2 linked regions of the Coturnix japonica genome follow. The protein of the gene in region 1 purifies or fractionates together with the protein of each later gene. This does not show direct contact. Links are inferred from orthologs where the notes say so. Each region holds a gene or a part of one and is shown on either strand. Other genes may lie near its edges. The genes, in order: ITSN1 and EPS15.

Region 1 (8,446 bases):
TGGTTTATAAACTGGAAAGTGTTGCATTTCGTCTTAAAAATCTATTTTGGGGGAAAGACAGTTCTGACAAGTTCAGAAGGGCAAGAGTTGTGTTTGGCTGTCTTAAAACTATTGCCTGAAGGGAGATGGCTGCTTTTGTCTTTTGTATGTGATGTCTAACCCTGGAACATGAGTAATATTACCTGAGTGGCCAACTGAATGCTTGCTGACAAGGCAATGCTATGTTTTAGTGAGTGAAACTCATACACAATTCAGGAATGCTGTTCTTGTTAAGAAAGCTCATCATTTGGAGAGGTCATTTGTGTAACTACTGCTCATCCAGGACAAGTCATCATCAACTCAGCTTGGCTCACTGAGGTGCACGTGCGTGGCAGAGAAACTCAAAAGGAGGCAAAAATGCTTTTGGCTTTTCTCTAATCCAGGACATGCCTTGTGCAACTGATGGGATGCCTTAAATTTCATATAACATTTTTATGACTTGCACTGCTTGTCATGCGCAAGGCAGAGACATTGCTCATCATCCCCGTGACACAAATCAAAACTAATGTCAGGACTCAAAACTGTATTTGATCTCTTTCAGGGGAACCTCGATTGTTTTACTTTATACAGTGCGTTGTTCTTCTTCTTCTACTTTTCGCAGCAACTCGTATTTAATTCTGTTACAAACTGCTTGGGACCACGCAAGTTTCTGCACAGTGGGAAGCTCTATAAAGCCAAGAGTAACAAGGAACTGTATGGCTTTCTGTTCAACGATTTCCTCCTCTTGACTCAGATCATAAAACCTCTTGGCTCTTCTGGCACAGACAAAGTCTTCAGCCCCAAGTCTAATCTGCAATACAAAATGTACAAAACTGTAAGTACCATTCTTAAATGGTGGCTTGGATAGTTACAAACTAACAAAAGTTCTGGAGGCAGCACCCACATACTGTACGTGTGGGTCTTTATATAGAAGAATGTTGAAAGCTTTGGCATATGCTGGGGATTCCAGGGACCAATGCTGAGCAAGCTGGTTGTCTGCTAGGTAAGGGAAGATGCCTTTGAAATGTGGCCAAAACGATTTCTTTGACAGAGTTTGCATAACAAGGGATGATGCAGAGAGCAGTATTTGCTGCTCCCTGTGAGAAGGGAGAGATTTCTATACCTCATAACGCTTTTCAATTGCTTTAGGAGAAATGTTTCCAGAGTGTGGATGCACCTTAATAAGAAGAAAATACTTAAAAATGACGTTTTAAGACAGATGGGAGGCCAGCTGAAGGGGAGAAACTGTTGTGGGCACAAATGAAATCTGTTCTGAATTGCTGTATCTTGCATGCCTATGTTTGGATAGTGTGCAATGGAATACTAGCTTTGCTTAATGTTTTCCAGCCCATTTTTCTAAATGAAGTACTAGTAAAATTACCCACAGACCCTTCTGGAGATGAGCCCATTTTCCATATCTCCCACATTGATAGAGTCTATACACTCCGGGCTGAAAGCATTAATGAAAGGTAAGTACCCGCACAGGCCACGTTAGTACTAATTTTTAAAGGCCTGATTAAAATGTGTTTGATGTACATATGCATAGCAGTGTCCAAGCAGTTAATATTACATCTCCTTGTGCTTGAGAATAAAGTGATAATCAGTACATGAAAAGAATGGAGAAATAATGATACTTCCTGAATTCCAGTAATACCAGTGGTGAGATCACTAGGATGGCTGATGATTCCATTTTGTGGTAGTGTAAAGAAGCTACAAGATTCAGTCCTATCTTACTCTTTTAATGTCCATCAGTTTTCTGTGCCAATGCAAGCATCTGCATGGCTGTATTTTGAATGAGATTCAGGAATGACTCAGATTAAAACATGAAGCAAAAACCTGCTGAGCAAAACTCAGTTTTAACCTGATTCTGTTTATAATGAGTAAATGAGAAAAGTGACAACTTCAGCTAGTGACTTGTGTCTCTGGAAAGGTTACAAAGACAGGATTGCACTGAGTTATGTTGAAAATATTGGTCTGCAGACTTCTAAGTTGTTGAAAAATAACTTTTGTTAAAAATCAGAAGCTGAAAAAACAGCAAAAAATCCCAAACAAACCAACCCCAAACACATTGTATAGATAGTATTATGCCAGCTTGAGAATGTGTTACCTGGAAAAATCCCAATGCATAAAACATCTTTGCTCCCTGCCTGTTCATAGTTCTTTTGAGCTTCTGTTATGTGATGGGATCTGCTAGGCTGTACTGATTACATTTCTACGGGTGCTATGAATTCCAGCAAGATCTCTTCCAAGCAGACAGCTTCAGCGTAGCAGAGCCTGAGGCAGGGTGGGGGCCTTAGGCTGCAAGGGGTTGGGAAGGAGGGCCAGCTTTACTGTTGCCTGCAGTACAGTAGGGAGTAAGAACAGAAATGGTATTTTGCAACCTTTTTCTCCTTTCCTTCTGAAGGACTGCGTGGGTTCAGAAAATTAAAGCTGCTTCGGAACTTTACATAGAGACTGAAAAGAAGAAGAGGGAAAAGGCCTACTTAGGTATGTCATGGGGTACTGGGGTTCTCATCGTTCATGGGGAAGTCCCTGGGCTGGAAAAGACATTAAGGACTTCTGTCTCTCCTCTTCTGTTTCACCACAGTTCGCTCACAAAGAGCAACAGGCATTGGGAGGTTGATGGTGAATATTGTTGAAGGCATTGAACTAAAACCTTGCAGATCCCATGGTAAGTGCCTTCTGATTTTCATAAGTGTGCTCTATGAAGGAGACATTCCTATGTGACTAACTTAGACATTCTGTCAACATATTTTTGTTTAAAAAAGCTGTTTTAATGAATTTAAAATGCACAAAGGTGATTCTGTGCTGTTCAGTAGCAGTCATGCAGTTGTCTTGCGCTTTATCATTTGGCTCATACAAACAGCTTTACTACATAAACTATTTCAAAAGAGATCATCAGCCACAAAATCCTTAATGAAGAGTGGCAAGTGCTTGGCACCTTGCAGAACTGTGCCCCTGGTTATTAAAATGACAGCAAGGCCACTGTCTTCACCTGGTCTGTTGGCTGCAAGAAGAAGATGGTATTCAGACACGCACTTGAAAACATGATTACATTTTTCTGTTTGTTTCCTACTTCCCAGGAAAGAGTAATCCATACTGTGAGGTGACGATGGGCTCTCAGTGCCACATCACCAAGACAATGCAGGACACCCTCAATCCGAAGTGGAACTCCAACTGCCAGTTCTTTATCAAAGACCTTGAGCAGGACGTGCTCTGCATCACGGTGTTTGAGAGGGACCAGTTCTCCCCAGATGGTAAGCAGGGGGCAGCCACCTTTCCAAGGGTGTTTTCAGGCCTCCCATTTTGAAGAGGTGCACTCCCACTGAGGTAAATACTGAACCCCTGTGCGTGTTTGACACACTCTCACTCCCCAGTGTAGTCATGCTTGTGTTGGAGCTAAAAGAATTGCACTCTCTCTGGGTTTTTGGGCTTCCTTTCTTGTGCAGTTTGACAGTAAGTGAAGTGCAGTTTGTAATTCTGCCAAGTCTTTACATGTAACTCTGGATGCTTTTTGCAAATGGACAAATTAATGGAGGAGGAAAAGAAAAGTTGTCAGGTTCCTGTAACAGGCAGTAGTAGAAATGAACTCAGAATTCCCAACCCACTTTAATTTCATAACTTGCAGTAGACATACGGAGAACTGAGGAATGTCTTTTGGAGTAACTTTCCCTCAGGAAGGATTTGGGCAGGACTGTCATTCATGTGGCCAGCACCATTTGCCCCAATGACCTTGTCGCTGTTGTAATCTATCCCTTGCTCTGTCATCTCCTGAGAGCTACTCGTTCAGTTCAAGCTGGGCAGTGGCCTTTGGCCTTTTTTCTAACATATCATAGAATAAATAAGTTACTTAAGCAAAGCAGCTGTGAAGTACATGGTGCATTTTTTCTGCCTTTGGCATCATTTTTGAATGCTGCCACTGGTCCAGATGAAAATCTCTTCTGTGCAGACAGGCAGCGTTTGTCCTTCAAATGCAAAAATGTGATTGGACTGAGGGCTTGTTTTCTCCTTTTGTCGTGTGTAGATGGAAGCTTAGCTCCTTCTACAATTTAGCGTTTTATTGCAGCAGAAAAGAGTTGTTTCATTTCTAAGCATGCCGTCTTTTTGCATTTCAGACTTTCTGGGCAGAACAGAGATCCGTGTGGCAGACATTAAGAAGGATCAGGGTTCAAAGGGACCAGTTACAAAGTGTCTCCTTCTCCACGAAGTCCCAACAGGAGAGATAGTCGTCCGACTAGACCTGCAATTGTTTGATGAGCCTTAGAAGGAAAGGGACCAATGTTTTTTTTTTTGTTTTGGTCTGAGTTCACTGCAATGTAGGTATCTGCAGAAGCTGTCACAAAACCCTGATCGGTTTGGTATGAAACTACTGCTTGCCCTTCACACACAAGAGGGTTATCAAAGCAAACAGGAGCATCTTTGTGCCTTGATAATTCTCACTGAAAAACGAGTCCCAGTTTAGTGAGGAAGTCTCCCTCAGTTTCTCCATGTGGAACCTGATGATGGTTTCCTGGGTTTATGAAGTAACCTGGTTGTTTGTTGTGCTGCTGGCACACCGCACAGGTCCCCGTGCTTGCTCCAGTTACTCTACTCGTTAATTGACATGAAGAAGGCAGTGTTGGTATGTTTGGTGGCTGTCTGCAGGGTTTTCCCCCATAAGGAATTCTGTGCCTATTGCTCAGCAAAGTGGCGTGTAAATGTTTTGTGAATGGAACAAACAGTTATGCAGTAAGAAGATCTCTGGAGATCTTCATGGCGATACTGAAAATATTTAGAAAAGAAATAGTCTATATCTATAAACAGAGAAGATTCTATTAACATACCACTTCATGACTCACATTGCCCCCAAAATAAATTCCGTGCAGGCCTTGTGCGCAGAGATGAGTTGCACTCCAGAAGAATCCACCCACTCAGTACCTTTGGAAGAAGACTTTGAACAGTGAGTGAAGGACGGAACGATAGAGCCCTGCTGAATGTTGTGCTGTACCACTTCAATACTGTTTTACTACTGCCGCTCAGTTGTGTGAGTGCAGGTGGATGTTCCGTCACCTGCAGTGAGGAAGGAAAAAAAATGATGGCTCTAGCTCAGGAAGCTCATTTCTGCCCCATAGACTAGTTTGCAAAGCAATCGGTGGTGACCAGTTATTAAACTGGACTGTTCCTGACTGCGTTCGACATCATGTTGCTGAATTCAGGGCTGTAGCGCTGTCACTCACAGCAGTGTTTGTTGCAAACTGGGCTGGTCACAAAGTTGGTGGCAAAGATGGTAGACGTGAGCAGAACGGAGTGTTTGTGATCGTGTGATGGAGTGGGTAAACCCAGGGTGATGTCATTTCATCTTGGGGAACGCAAAAGGTTTTATGTGTGTTTAACTCAACACATAGCACACATACAGGCCAATGTCCAGCAAACTTCCCACGTTCGGCAAAGCGTCTGTCTCTAAGTGCACACATAGGTAGTGTTTCCCTTACGTACACAACTAAGTGCTTTGCTAGGACTGGATGTGACAGAGCCCTAAGAGTAAAATTCATCTTTGTTCTGCCTGGAATCATTTTGTTCATTACCTATCATGCATACACTGGTATTTTTGTAATGACTTTATTCTGAATGGGAGGTGTCAGCCTGTTCCATTAGCATGTGAATGTTCTCGTGGAGCCTGTTGTTAGGTTTTGATGTTCCTTGCATGTCCTTTCAGTACCGGTTTCCACCTTCCCTGTATAGATGGTGTTCTCTAGCACTACAATTCTTATTGATTTCCATTAGGAAATTAGGATATATTCATAACGAATAGGTAGATACAGTATGGTAGTAAGTGTAAACTGTGCTGGGAAGTGTCTGTGTATTATAATTTCCTACGAGACCACTGTAATGTTTCAAGCAATGGGAAAAAAAAAAAAAGTATGTTGGAGGGACGACAAAGTTTACATTTCATACTTTTCAGAATCGCTTTATTATTTATTTATTGAAGATGATAGTGTAGAATTTTGTATCAGAAATGACAGACATACTTATGTATTTTTTGAAACAGAAAAAACAGAGAATACACGCTTCAGTTACAAACTTTTGACTGATCACATTTGAGAGGGAGTGCAACTTCCTGGGCACGCATTTGGTTACCACTAACTGGCAGAAAACACAATCAAGAGAACTTTAAGTTTCTATTTTTCAATGTTGTTAAGAAAATCGTTTCGATTAAAATATGTAAATAGTACTAAACCCATGTTTTCCTAATTCCATATCAATACATTTTATTAAATATAACGTATATGAAGATACACATTGTTGTGGTAGGATTAAAAACAAAGTGATAAAATCTATTAATGGGTAACATTAAATGTCATTGTCTAACCTTTTATTGCTGTCCTAATTTTACTCAGTAGCTGGACATACAGTGAACATTCCTCTCAGTGTTGAGAAAGTCGGATCATGTTTATCGTATCATTTTCCATAGCATGAATTTCAGCAACAAATAAGTAGACTAATAGGAACAAAATACCATGGATGTTGTGCAGAGATCCAGTCCAGGTTTCCAGAAGAAGCCACAAGTTGCAGCATTTTCCTCTGCTATTCAATTGCTGTTGGAAGTGATTGTCAGGTAGATGTGGGGGCTCCTCTTGGACTGTGACCCCATCATGGGTACATCAGATTGGATTTTTTTCATGCGGTAACATGAATGAGCACCTTCCCAACCACCATTGCTTGTTGTTTCTAATTTGTCCTCAGTGCACAGAAATGTTTAGTTCCCGTATCATGCATGTGTGATGATAATGAAGGGGTAGGATTCAGCTCATGGATTTCTAAGTTGCAATCTGTTCTTGTAATTTCCCTTGTCCATCCAGGACTTCATGTGTTATGGAGTTGTGGGACTGGCTGGGTCTCTTCTTCCAGGTAACAGTGATGCAACAAGAGGGAATGGCCTGAAGTTGCACCAGGGGAGGTTCAGGTTGGTTATTTGGAACAATTTCTTCTCAGTAAGAGCAGTGCTGCAGTGGCACAGGCTGCCCAGGGGGGTGGTGCAGTCACCATCCCTGGAGGTGTTCAAGAGCCGTGTGGATGTGGCACTGAGGGACGTGGGCAGTGGGCATGGTGGGGGTGGGCTGATGGTTGGACTGGGTGATCTGAGAGGTCTTTTCCAACCTTAAATGATATTATGGTTCTAAGCCCAGGGCATGTTCAGCTCTCCTCTGTTAGGGCTGCACTACACACATTCCCAGCAGGGCCTCACTGTGAGCTCCACCTTCCAACCCTGTCATCCCACAGGCTATGATCCATTGCAGTTAATTACCTTTGTGTCCCAGCTAGAACATAGGCATACTAGAAGCTGACTGGATGCTCATGTGCTATGCAGGAGATGCAGGGATGAGTTCAAAGAGCCTGCCTTACAAAGTCAATTCACATTCTATAAGGACCGATAGATCGCAGTGCCTGAAGAGAGCATCAAACAAGTCAAGGTTAAGATAAATGAGTTTATGTTCTTTGCAGATCTATTTTCTTCCCTGTCTTTCTGAAAGTGCGTGGTCATTGGGTTATAGCCACCGGACTCTCCAGAATGGTATTTACCAGGGTAATAGTAAGTCATATACCTGCAAGTTATAATGATTTGGAAGCACTGTAAAATAAAAACCATGAAGCTGGTCTTGGCTTTGGAAATACTATTTCCCCAAGATCAGTGCTGTAGGGAGGCGGTCTGTAAGGCCCTGAGAGGCTGTGTGCAGTTGGTGGTCTGACATGGGCACCTTAAGGAACGGAGCACATCGCTGGGCTGACCCTAAGGAATGTGACCCATACATTACAGAGCTTTTTCTAGATGCACTTAATTATTATATATCTTCTCAACATGAGTTTTTATGAAGGAATTTTTTAAATGCTCATTCTAGAATATTTTTACCCTTTAGAAAACAAAAAACCAACACTTTTTGTTACGTGTGAGTTTGGGTTTGGGGGGAAGAACATTGTGGATAGCAACGTTTTTGTAATATTATTAAATACATTTTCCAGATGAAGATGTGATGAGTCCAGACCTTCACCGCAACAGCGGGGTCTGCTTTCGTACTGCTCCGTTTGCACTGTGGTGTCTCACTGCTCCAGCTGAGCAGTCACAACCCTTTTAAATGCAGAACAGTGGGGAATCAGGTGAACTCACCTTCACTTTGAGCCGTTTGCTCTGTATGTACATTCCACGCGTACCCCGCGTTTGTTCAGACCAAACACTCCTGTCCTATGACCATATCGATGTATCTGTAGATATATATACGTATATATACATGTGATTATTTGTATATATAAGGATATAGCTACTTTGTTGTTGTCAAATACGGAGTCAATCTAAAACAAAAACGGTTTTGTTTGTTCTCTTACATATTTTAAAATAAAAAGGCCATTCTTGGGAAATTATTTTTTTGTGCATAGGCAGATATATTTAAGGCCG
Region 2 (8,446 bases), on another chromosome or scaffold:
GCCACAAATTAGTAAACTTAATGAGGCTGAATTAGAAGGACTTTCATATGAGGCTGCTTCTTAAAAGTCTCAGTAATTAACCAGCTTGAGAAGAATATTGCCTAAAATAAGTGAATTCTGAAGTAATATATGTGATTTTTATTTAAATTAAAATGATTTGAATAAAATATTTGAATTTTGCAAATGCTTTATGAATTAAAAATTACATAGTCAGCATCAGTGTTTAGGGTGTTAACAATTTAAGCCCTGAATTAAATACTGCAGAGCATATTTAAGTTAAATTGTAAGGTGCAGAAGCAGCTGGGATTGCAACATTAAGGAAAAAAAGCTTCAGTGTTATATCTGATCATTTACGTTTGTTTCTGAATTTATTTCAGGAATCTTCATTAGTTCAAATTCCCTCTATTTGATTAAGAGTAAATGGTATAAATCTCTGCATTTTACTGTTTTGGGGGTTGGAAGGTTCATAAAGAAAAGCCAGCGTTACAACCATTGTGACTCTTGTGCTCAGCTATTTAATATCCTTAAAGCCTAGATGATAATTAATAGTCTGACCTTTCTGAAGATAATCAGATGCTGGCCTGTTGGTCACAATGGCAGCCAGATTGACCATTCCTGCAGTTCTGTCTGTGCATGCAGTCGTCATTCTCCCCTTCACCATGAAGGACCTTTTCACACTTAAAAATGCTGATAAATTTTGTTATTTGGGCACACATGGTGATTTTGTTAGTTTGTTCTGAAACTCGTGTGTTCATATAAGATTGAGTTTCTGCTGCCTTTGTACATGAGGTGTCTAAAGGTAAATAAAACACCTGCCACTAGCATTGTGAGGCATAAAATGTTACAGTGTTAGTGAGTTCTTATGTCTATTTTGTATTCTTTGATAGTCAGCAGCATCACAGAATCAATGAAATCATTGTATCCGGAGCAGTTGTGTTCAAAACAACTGTCTTAGATCTTTAACCTCTTAGTGATCACATAAGCTATTTGTATCCTGCTAAATATAATGAGTTCTCTGTCTGTGAAGCAGTCTATTGCTGACATGTCAGAAAAATGGGAACCCATCAGGATCAGATGGGGTATGACTCCAGCATTCGTTTGAGCTCATGGCTCTCTGTCTCTGGTCTCCTTGTTCCTTAATGTTGGAGGACCCACATGTTACATGAAACTTTCTAGAACTTCACAGAATAGCAGTGGCAGATAAAGAATATCTTTACATCCTGTTGTTTGGTTATTGTTTTTTTCTGATGTTCTTATGGTAATATTTCTAAAGATGGTTTGCACAAACTGTGTTGTAACCTGCCACTTTTGACCAAGCTAATGTGGTGGCATCACATGGAGGGGTTCATGATACCAGGATTATATCCACTGACATAAATTATAATCTCACAAAGGCTTGTGAACAGTTCTACATGGGGGAAGAGATAGAAAATTGTTTTCCCCTGTGAAATAATGTATGTGCTGTACAAATAGAGTCTAAGGGGAAGAGATGGAAAAAGAGTTGTAGGGAAAACATAACAAACTGATATTTTCTAATGCTTATTAAAGTGTTATCAGCACTGATTAAAGGCTGTTTTTTTCATAAGAGATAATGAGTAGAATAGCAAAGATTGAGAAACTGAGGCATTTTTTAATTTATTCTGTGATGGAGTTTTCATTTTCTTATAAATAACAGAGATAAGAAACTCAGATACAAGATGTTCTTGTCAGAAGATAATTCAGTTTTACAGAGTTGATGTATCACTAAAACACTAATTTTTGACCACACAAGTATCATTTCAAAGCATCCCCTTGTGCTGTCACCAAGCTGCTCATCAAGACCCAAGTGCTGGTTGGAGCACAGAGTGCCTCAGCCAGTAGGCAGTGCCTCAAGTTATGGGGTTATTTCCACATTCCCAAGGCTCAAATCCTCCATCACGCACTTTACATGTGTATGTGTATGGATTCTTAGTGTGTCTGCAGAGACTCTGAAATAAATGGTGATTGTTCTGGCTTTCCCAACTATGATTGGGAAAGAATACCTAGAATAAAATTCCCTAGAGTTCTACTGACATGAAGTCAATAGGTCTGTTTCCAGTTTTAAGTGGAATATTGAAGGTTTTTTTTGAACAAACCTGTGGAACTCCTGGAAAAAAAAAAAAAAAAAAAAAGCACAATTTATGTTTGTATCTATGGAGGTAAGGAAATCTATTTTGGAGATATCAGGTATAGTCAGGTCTCCTCAGTGCTTCTCTATGGCTGTGGCTAGTGCAGACATTGGGAGTCAACAGAAACAGTAGCAAGACTGGAAGTCATTTATATTTAGCTTGTTTCTGTGTGTGACTGAAAGGAGCTGTTATTTCCATCCCTCAGCCTGGTTGTTATGTTGAGAGTCAGATGGTATTTGTATTCAAAGTCATGAAAAAACAGAATGGATCAGGATGCTTTCCCAGTTGTCCAAGTCACTTGATGCTGTCAGAGCTTTTTGCATATACTGATTTATTTTCCATAAATCAGAAGCAATCAACAATTCATCTAGTCTGGCTGCTGTAGGTTAGGCATAAAATTTAAGCTCTTAATCCTGAAGTAGTTGAATGGATTTTGATTTTTTCTTTGAATAAAATAATTGGGTTTTTTATTAGGTGGTCTTCTGATTGTCCTGAGGTTCCCCATTTTGCTGAGCATCTGACTGCTGCGCCATATACATTTGTTTCCATCTCTTTTTGTCCTGATTAACTGGAGGTGTTAACAGATATGGATTTACCGTCTCCCCTTGTTTAAAAAAAGATAGTAATTTAAAGAAATCACCTAAAAATGACAACAGACTCTTGCCTTAGAACAGTACAGAAATACATGATCTTATCAGAATTTAATGTCAGCTTTTTTTCTGACTGTCCTAAATTTTCTTTAATCTCTCTTTCTTTATTTATTTTTGAATATGATTCTTCATTCAATTGCTTTCTTTTTTTTTTTTTTTTTTTTTTTTTTAGAAAGACTGCAGTCTTCTCTCATCAAATGCTTCTGTAATAATCCTTTTTTGATCCCTCTGTATTACTTCTTCTTGACTTTGACAGTTTTTGCTAGATTCTTGTCTTGGATGTTGTTTTTTTTCCCAGTGTTATCTCTGCAGTTTGAAGTACAACCATTATTGTTGCTCAGAAATGAACTAATGAACTAATTACCATATGATGCTACTTTCTGTATCTTATATTTTATTCACAGCTGTTCCCTAGAACAAAACATGCCATGTTTTCATATATGGAACATACATTTCTTACCAGGACTGTTACTTGGAAACAAAAAAGAGTTGGGGTGATTTCAGCAAAAATTGGAGGCAGGGGAAATCATTTGGATTAATAAGGCACTGATTTTTTTCTTCACCTTGCTACTAAAATGAGTTTGTATTGTTGGTGTGTGTTTCTGAGGGGAAAGGAACATAATAAAGAATTCAGTTACTGAGGAGCTCAATAAAACTTATTGCTAAAATATAGAAGAGAGAATGTAGCAGCCTAAACAAAGGATGACTTCTGGATTCAGAAATGAAGCTTGCCTCCCACTGATTATGTAGTTGTAATCTCTGATTAGTGGTATGATCTTCAGTGTTTCAATGAAATTTTAATGTATTGGGTTGTTTTTGTGGTTTTTTTTTTTTTTTAATGAAAGAAAAAGCAAATAACTATTTTTCTCTTAGAATTAAAGCTTGTGTGATGCACGTGAAATATTAGCCTTTGAAAGGTAACACGTTGATACTCTGAAATCTGACTGATCATCACCACAATTTATACTATGAAAGTTAATGATCAGAGGAGGAGCAGTGAACAAAGGCAAAGCTAATCTGTTCTATCACAGGATCTACAAGATGAAGTAAAACGGGAGAGCAGTAATCTGCAAAAGCTGCAAGCTCAGAAACAGGAAGCACAGGAAATACTCAATGATCTTGATGAGCAGAAGGCCAAGTTGGAAGAGCAACTCAATGATATCAGGCAGAAATGTGCAGAGGAGGCCCACTTGGTAAGGTCTAGTTAGTGGCTTCAGCCCTTAAGGAGAACTGCTGCATTTTGAATATTGCATGCTTGCAGTGTGTTGTGGTGGTTGGGAAAGGAGAAAAATCTTTCAAGATTAAACAGGCTGAGTTTCAGGATTTTGTGACCAGCAGAGACATCAGTTATTTCACTGACTTCTTTATGTCTCAGTGCGCCAACAACTGCAATAAGATATGTTTGCACACATGTAAGGTTGTGTACAAACAAATGACATAAATGTGTAACACAATGTATATGTAACTAGAAACACTAATTACCAGGACTGATTTCTTGGGATTTAAAAAAAAAAAAATTCTAACATAAAATTTCAGAGTTGGTTTTGTTGTGGTTTTTATATATATATATATATCTTTACTATTAGTAATATTTGTATTGGTCAGGAAAACAGCTTAATCTCATTGGGACAAATAGCAAATTAATCTTCTGGTAGAGTATGGTCTGAAATCTCTGCTATAGCTGGTCATAAATCTGGTCATAAATCCTAGCCTTTGCTGGATATATTTGGAGGTGTGGGATATTTTTGGTGTGGTGATGTTGGTTGTTGTTGTTGTTGTTTTCCTAATTTGGCTTTGGAATCCTTGTTTATGCTTTAGATTGCCATGCTGAAAGCTGAAATAACAAGCCAGGAGACAAAGATATCAGCATATGAAGATGAACTGACCAAAGCTCAAGAGGAGCTGAGTCGTCTGCAGCAAGAAACTGCAGAGCTTGAGCATTGCATAGAGTCTGGGAAAGCACAGCTGGGACCTCTTCAGCAACATCTGCAAGATTCACAACAGGAAATCAATTCGGTAAGGCACTGTGAAAAGGGAGGGGGAAAAAAAAAAGGAAAAATAATAATTTAAAATACAAAAAACAGGAAAAAAATGCCAGTGATCACCAGCAGTATGGCCAGCTTCCTTGGCACAGCAGATTCTCAGGTCTACCATATCTCTTCTAGATTAGTTTTGTAGTTCTCTATGAAATTCTATAGTTATATTGTACTTGATTTTGCATGAGAATTACAGCTATATACCTTCCATCTCACATTTAAGAAGGTTAAGTTGTATTCTAGTTTCCATGTACTACTGCGCTGATACACATGCATTATTTCCATTTACAGGTGCAGACAAAACTTCTTGAGCTGAAAGAACTGGAAAGTAACCAATTTAGTTGGCACTCTCAGCCACAGAATGTACTTGTTAATGGAACTGCGGATCATTCTAGTCTCAGCAACAGCAGCAGCGAAACTGCTAACCTTAATGAGAATGCTGAAAGGGAAAGCATAGCTGAAGATGAACAAATAAACAACGTATCCCCAGTGAGTAAAGTGTTTTGCCTGTGTAATTGTGATGCAATGCAGCTGTGAAGTTGGAATAAATTAAGAATGTATTAAGATTGATTGTATTTTGTTTTTAAGCATTTGCAAAGTGAGCTTTCAGGATGTTATTCTGAGGGAGTATTCCAGAGATCTGGAAGTTGATAAGAAAGAAACAGAAAAAGAGGCAACAGAATTCTTTTTGTGCATTTGTTTCCAAAGCTAAATGTCATAAATTGAAGAGCAAAATTAATGTTAAATATGAGCAGCTGTTTCCAATTGGTGCAGCAGAAATAGAATGAAGAATAGTACAGAAATCTGAATGCTGTCTTGCTATTTAAATGTCTATTTTCTTTGTCTCAATTTATCAAACACTTCAGTGTTTTCTAAGTATGAACCTCTTGAGGTATCCTTTAGTATATCCTTACAACAGTTTGGTACTTAAAATGGAGTAAGCAGTGTAGTGCTCTATAAAATGGAGTAAGCAGTGTAGTGTTCTGTTTACTTACATTGAATTGCTTTTATCCTTACGTAGCCAAGAAATAGTCCTGAAACAACAACTGCTGCTGCAGAAGAAGACAAAGAGACTCCAGCTGGAACTGTTACAAGAAAAGTGAGTTTGTTCAAATTTAAGGGAGGAAGAAATGAATGTAAAAACAAAAAAACCCACAAAATAACTAGGGCATGATGCCACAAATGCATTCATCTTATATAGCAGGTTGATTTTTACTGGGGAATGCTGTGGCTCTCTGTTGAGTCTTGATGAATTCAAACTCATTTCAGCTTTAAGAAGTTAATAAATGATAAGAGAATGAGATAAATGTCTCAGACTTCACACCTTTCTTTGCTTCTTTTGGGTTCTTCAGGAGGATCCATTTGATGCTGAATCTCACCCATTGCCTGATATAGTTTCTGAAGCAAGCTTAGAGTTCTTCCAGTCCGACCCTTTTGTTGGCAGTAAGTACACTCTTCTCTCCAAAAATGTGACAGATTAAACTTCTAGTCTTTATGAAATAAATGTGAAAGTACTTGAGTGACAAGAGCCAACAGCAGTACAGAAATATAAATGAGAGTTCTACGGTGTATCTCTTTGCTTTACCTGTGTGGTTTTTTTTCTCTGAGTGCCTCTTTTATTTTTTTCCCCTCTGGAGGTCTCATTTTGGTATTAAAGGTGTGGGCATACTTGTGATACATGTGGTGTCAGTGATCTAATTTGCAGCACAGAGTCACAAACAGGTCATCTGAGGGTTCAGTGAACTGTGGTGTGGGGAGAGTGTGGGTGGCTGAGAGTGAATGGCTGTGGCCTACTTATGGCAAGTTAGGCACTCAAAAAAAGATAATGTGGAACTGTACCATCTGTTCATCTGTGGAAGTGCTATGCTTTATTTTAAGAACTTGCCGCTCAAGAATTCTGTTGCTCCAGTTTTTTTTCTTATAACATTGGAAGGAGTGATCTGTCTGCATAGAGACACTTGGAATATGGGAAGAGTTAATTTGGATTAACTGTTGAAGCAGATGTATGCAGCTAAATAAGCTAAATTTATTTTGCATCACTTGGCTTCTAAAAGATTGCCAATGAAGATTTAGGCTCTAGTTCACCTTTTTCAATTAAAAAGTTGTTCTAAAACTTCAAAGATTTTATTGTGGTTTTTTTTTTTTTTGTTCATATTGAAGTAGTCCTGCTTATGGGACATAACAGCCTTCCTTTCAGAGGAGAAAGATATGTCAGTTAATCAGTCTTCTGGATTTTGTGTGCTCAGTTTGTTTAGAGGTAGATATCTAGAGCTGTAAGACCTTATATATGTGAACTGAGGGAATATACTGATGCATATATATATACTTGCATCCAGTATAGAAATGAACACTTGACGGCTACTATCCACAGTGTCTCTGAGAATTAACAAAAGTGGCACTAAGTTTCCATCAGTAGTTAGCCTGTGTTACTGTGGTGTAAATACTGCACAATGTGGGTCTTCACTGAGAACAGCCAACAGAGATGCCTTTTTCAGATGACTGTTATTGTGCGCTTCGTGCTGCTAATAAATTATGTGATGAATATTTGCTTTGTTATCAGCTCTTGTTCCACTAAAAATAATAAAACAGTTCCTCTGAGTGAGGGCAATTCTAGCTCTAGAAACTTGTTTCTGTGGAAAAGACTTCAACTCAGTACACAAGCTTTATGCTTTAAAATCCACAAGTCACTTTTTCCTTTCAACAGGTGATCCCTTCAAAGATGACCCTTTTGGGAAAATTGGTGAGCAACTTTGTAACTTCTAATGCTTCTTTTCTTGTTCTTTTTCTTTTTTTTTTTCTTTTTTGTAAATGATTCCTAGTAGAACAGTACTTTGGAGGAAAAGTGTCACCGCTTACAGTGTGAAAAAGGTGGTAGTGATTTGAAAAGTCACTGTAGGATGGATATATAGCAGTAGCAGCTGCCCACTTGTGTTAAACCTTTTCAGAGAAGCCTGTTCCCTAGGAACTTCTCTCTTGCTTTTGAAAGTATTCTTAGTGAGGATTTAAATATATGGAGGTGGTAAATGGAAGGCCTCAAATTCAAAGAATGTTTTGTTTGCAGAGGAATAGGACTGTTCTCTTAAAGACTCTTAATTCAGCAACTTTCTGTAGCACAAATATTGAAGAAGATGGGAAGATCTGTTGAGACTGTTTCTTTAAGCAATGTTGTTGCATTACTTGCTCAGTTTTACCAGTGGCAAAAAGGAAATGGGGAGTGGGAAGGCTACGGCAAAACAGCATGGTGCACCCTGTGTCAAATAAGGAAACATCAGTTATGTTGAGGGAGTGAAGGAGAAGAAAATATGAAAGTTCTGAAAATGATTAGTTTATATAAAAATGTTTCTTTGTAAGGGAGCTGAGTTAGAGAAGCTATATATTTACATGGTTCTGCTCCACTATTGGCACAGTATAGTTTTTGTTGTGTGCAGAAAATGTCAGTTTGTCTGATGTTTGAACCATAGAATTCAGATTATTCACAGATCAAGGATTTTTGAAGCATCAAATCTGTCTTTAAATGTGTCACTTTCTCACAGAATGAAAGAAGCAATGTAACATTTCATTTTTAAGATGCAAAGTTAAATAAAGCAAGTAGAATTGTTAATGAGATGTTTCC

Evidence for each region.
Region 2: the proteins of ITSN1 (region 1) and EPS15 purify together in Homo sapiens (co-immunoprecipitation; 3 studies listed by BioGRID and IntAct, with this or other methods). This does not show direct contact. The link is inferred for Coturnix japonica from reciprocal best matches to the Homo sapiens genes ITSN1 and EPS15.

What each region holds. Positions count from the first base shown.
Region 1 is NC_029516.1:94,961,538-94,969,983, forward strand, and holds the end of ITSN1 (intersectin-1), read left to right. Parts: intron 1-640; coding exon 641-853; intron 854-1,365; coding exon 1,366-1,487; intron 1,488-2,422; coding exon 2,423-2,505; intron 2,506-2,605; coding exon 2,606-2,689; intron 2,690-3,101; coding exon 3,102-3,275; intron 3,276-4,133; coding exon 4,134-4,282; 3' UTR 4,283-6,373; downstream 6,374-8,446. UniProt on the Homo sapiens protein: Adapter protein that provides a link between the endocytic membrane traffic and the actin assembly machinery. Acts as a guanine nucleotide exchange factor (GEF) for CDC42, and thereby stimulates actin nucleation mediated by WASL and the ARP2/3 complex.
Region 2 is NC_029523.1:21,488,971-21,497,416, reverse strand, and holds part of EPS15 (epidermal growth factor receptor substrate 15), read left to right. Parts: intron 1-3,828; coding exon 3,829-3,990; intron 3,991-4,615; coding exon 4,616-4,813; intron 4,814-5,124; coding exon 5,125-5,322; intron 5,323-5,854; coding exon 5,855-5,932; intron 5,933-6,185; coding exon 6,186-6,276; intron 6,277-7,537; coding exon 7,538-7,573; intron 7,574-8,446. UniProt on the Homo sapiens protein: Involved in cell growth regulation. May be involved in the regulation of mitogenic signals and control of cell proliferation. Involved in the internalization of ligand-inducible receptors of the receptor tyrosine kinase (RTK) type, in particular EGFR.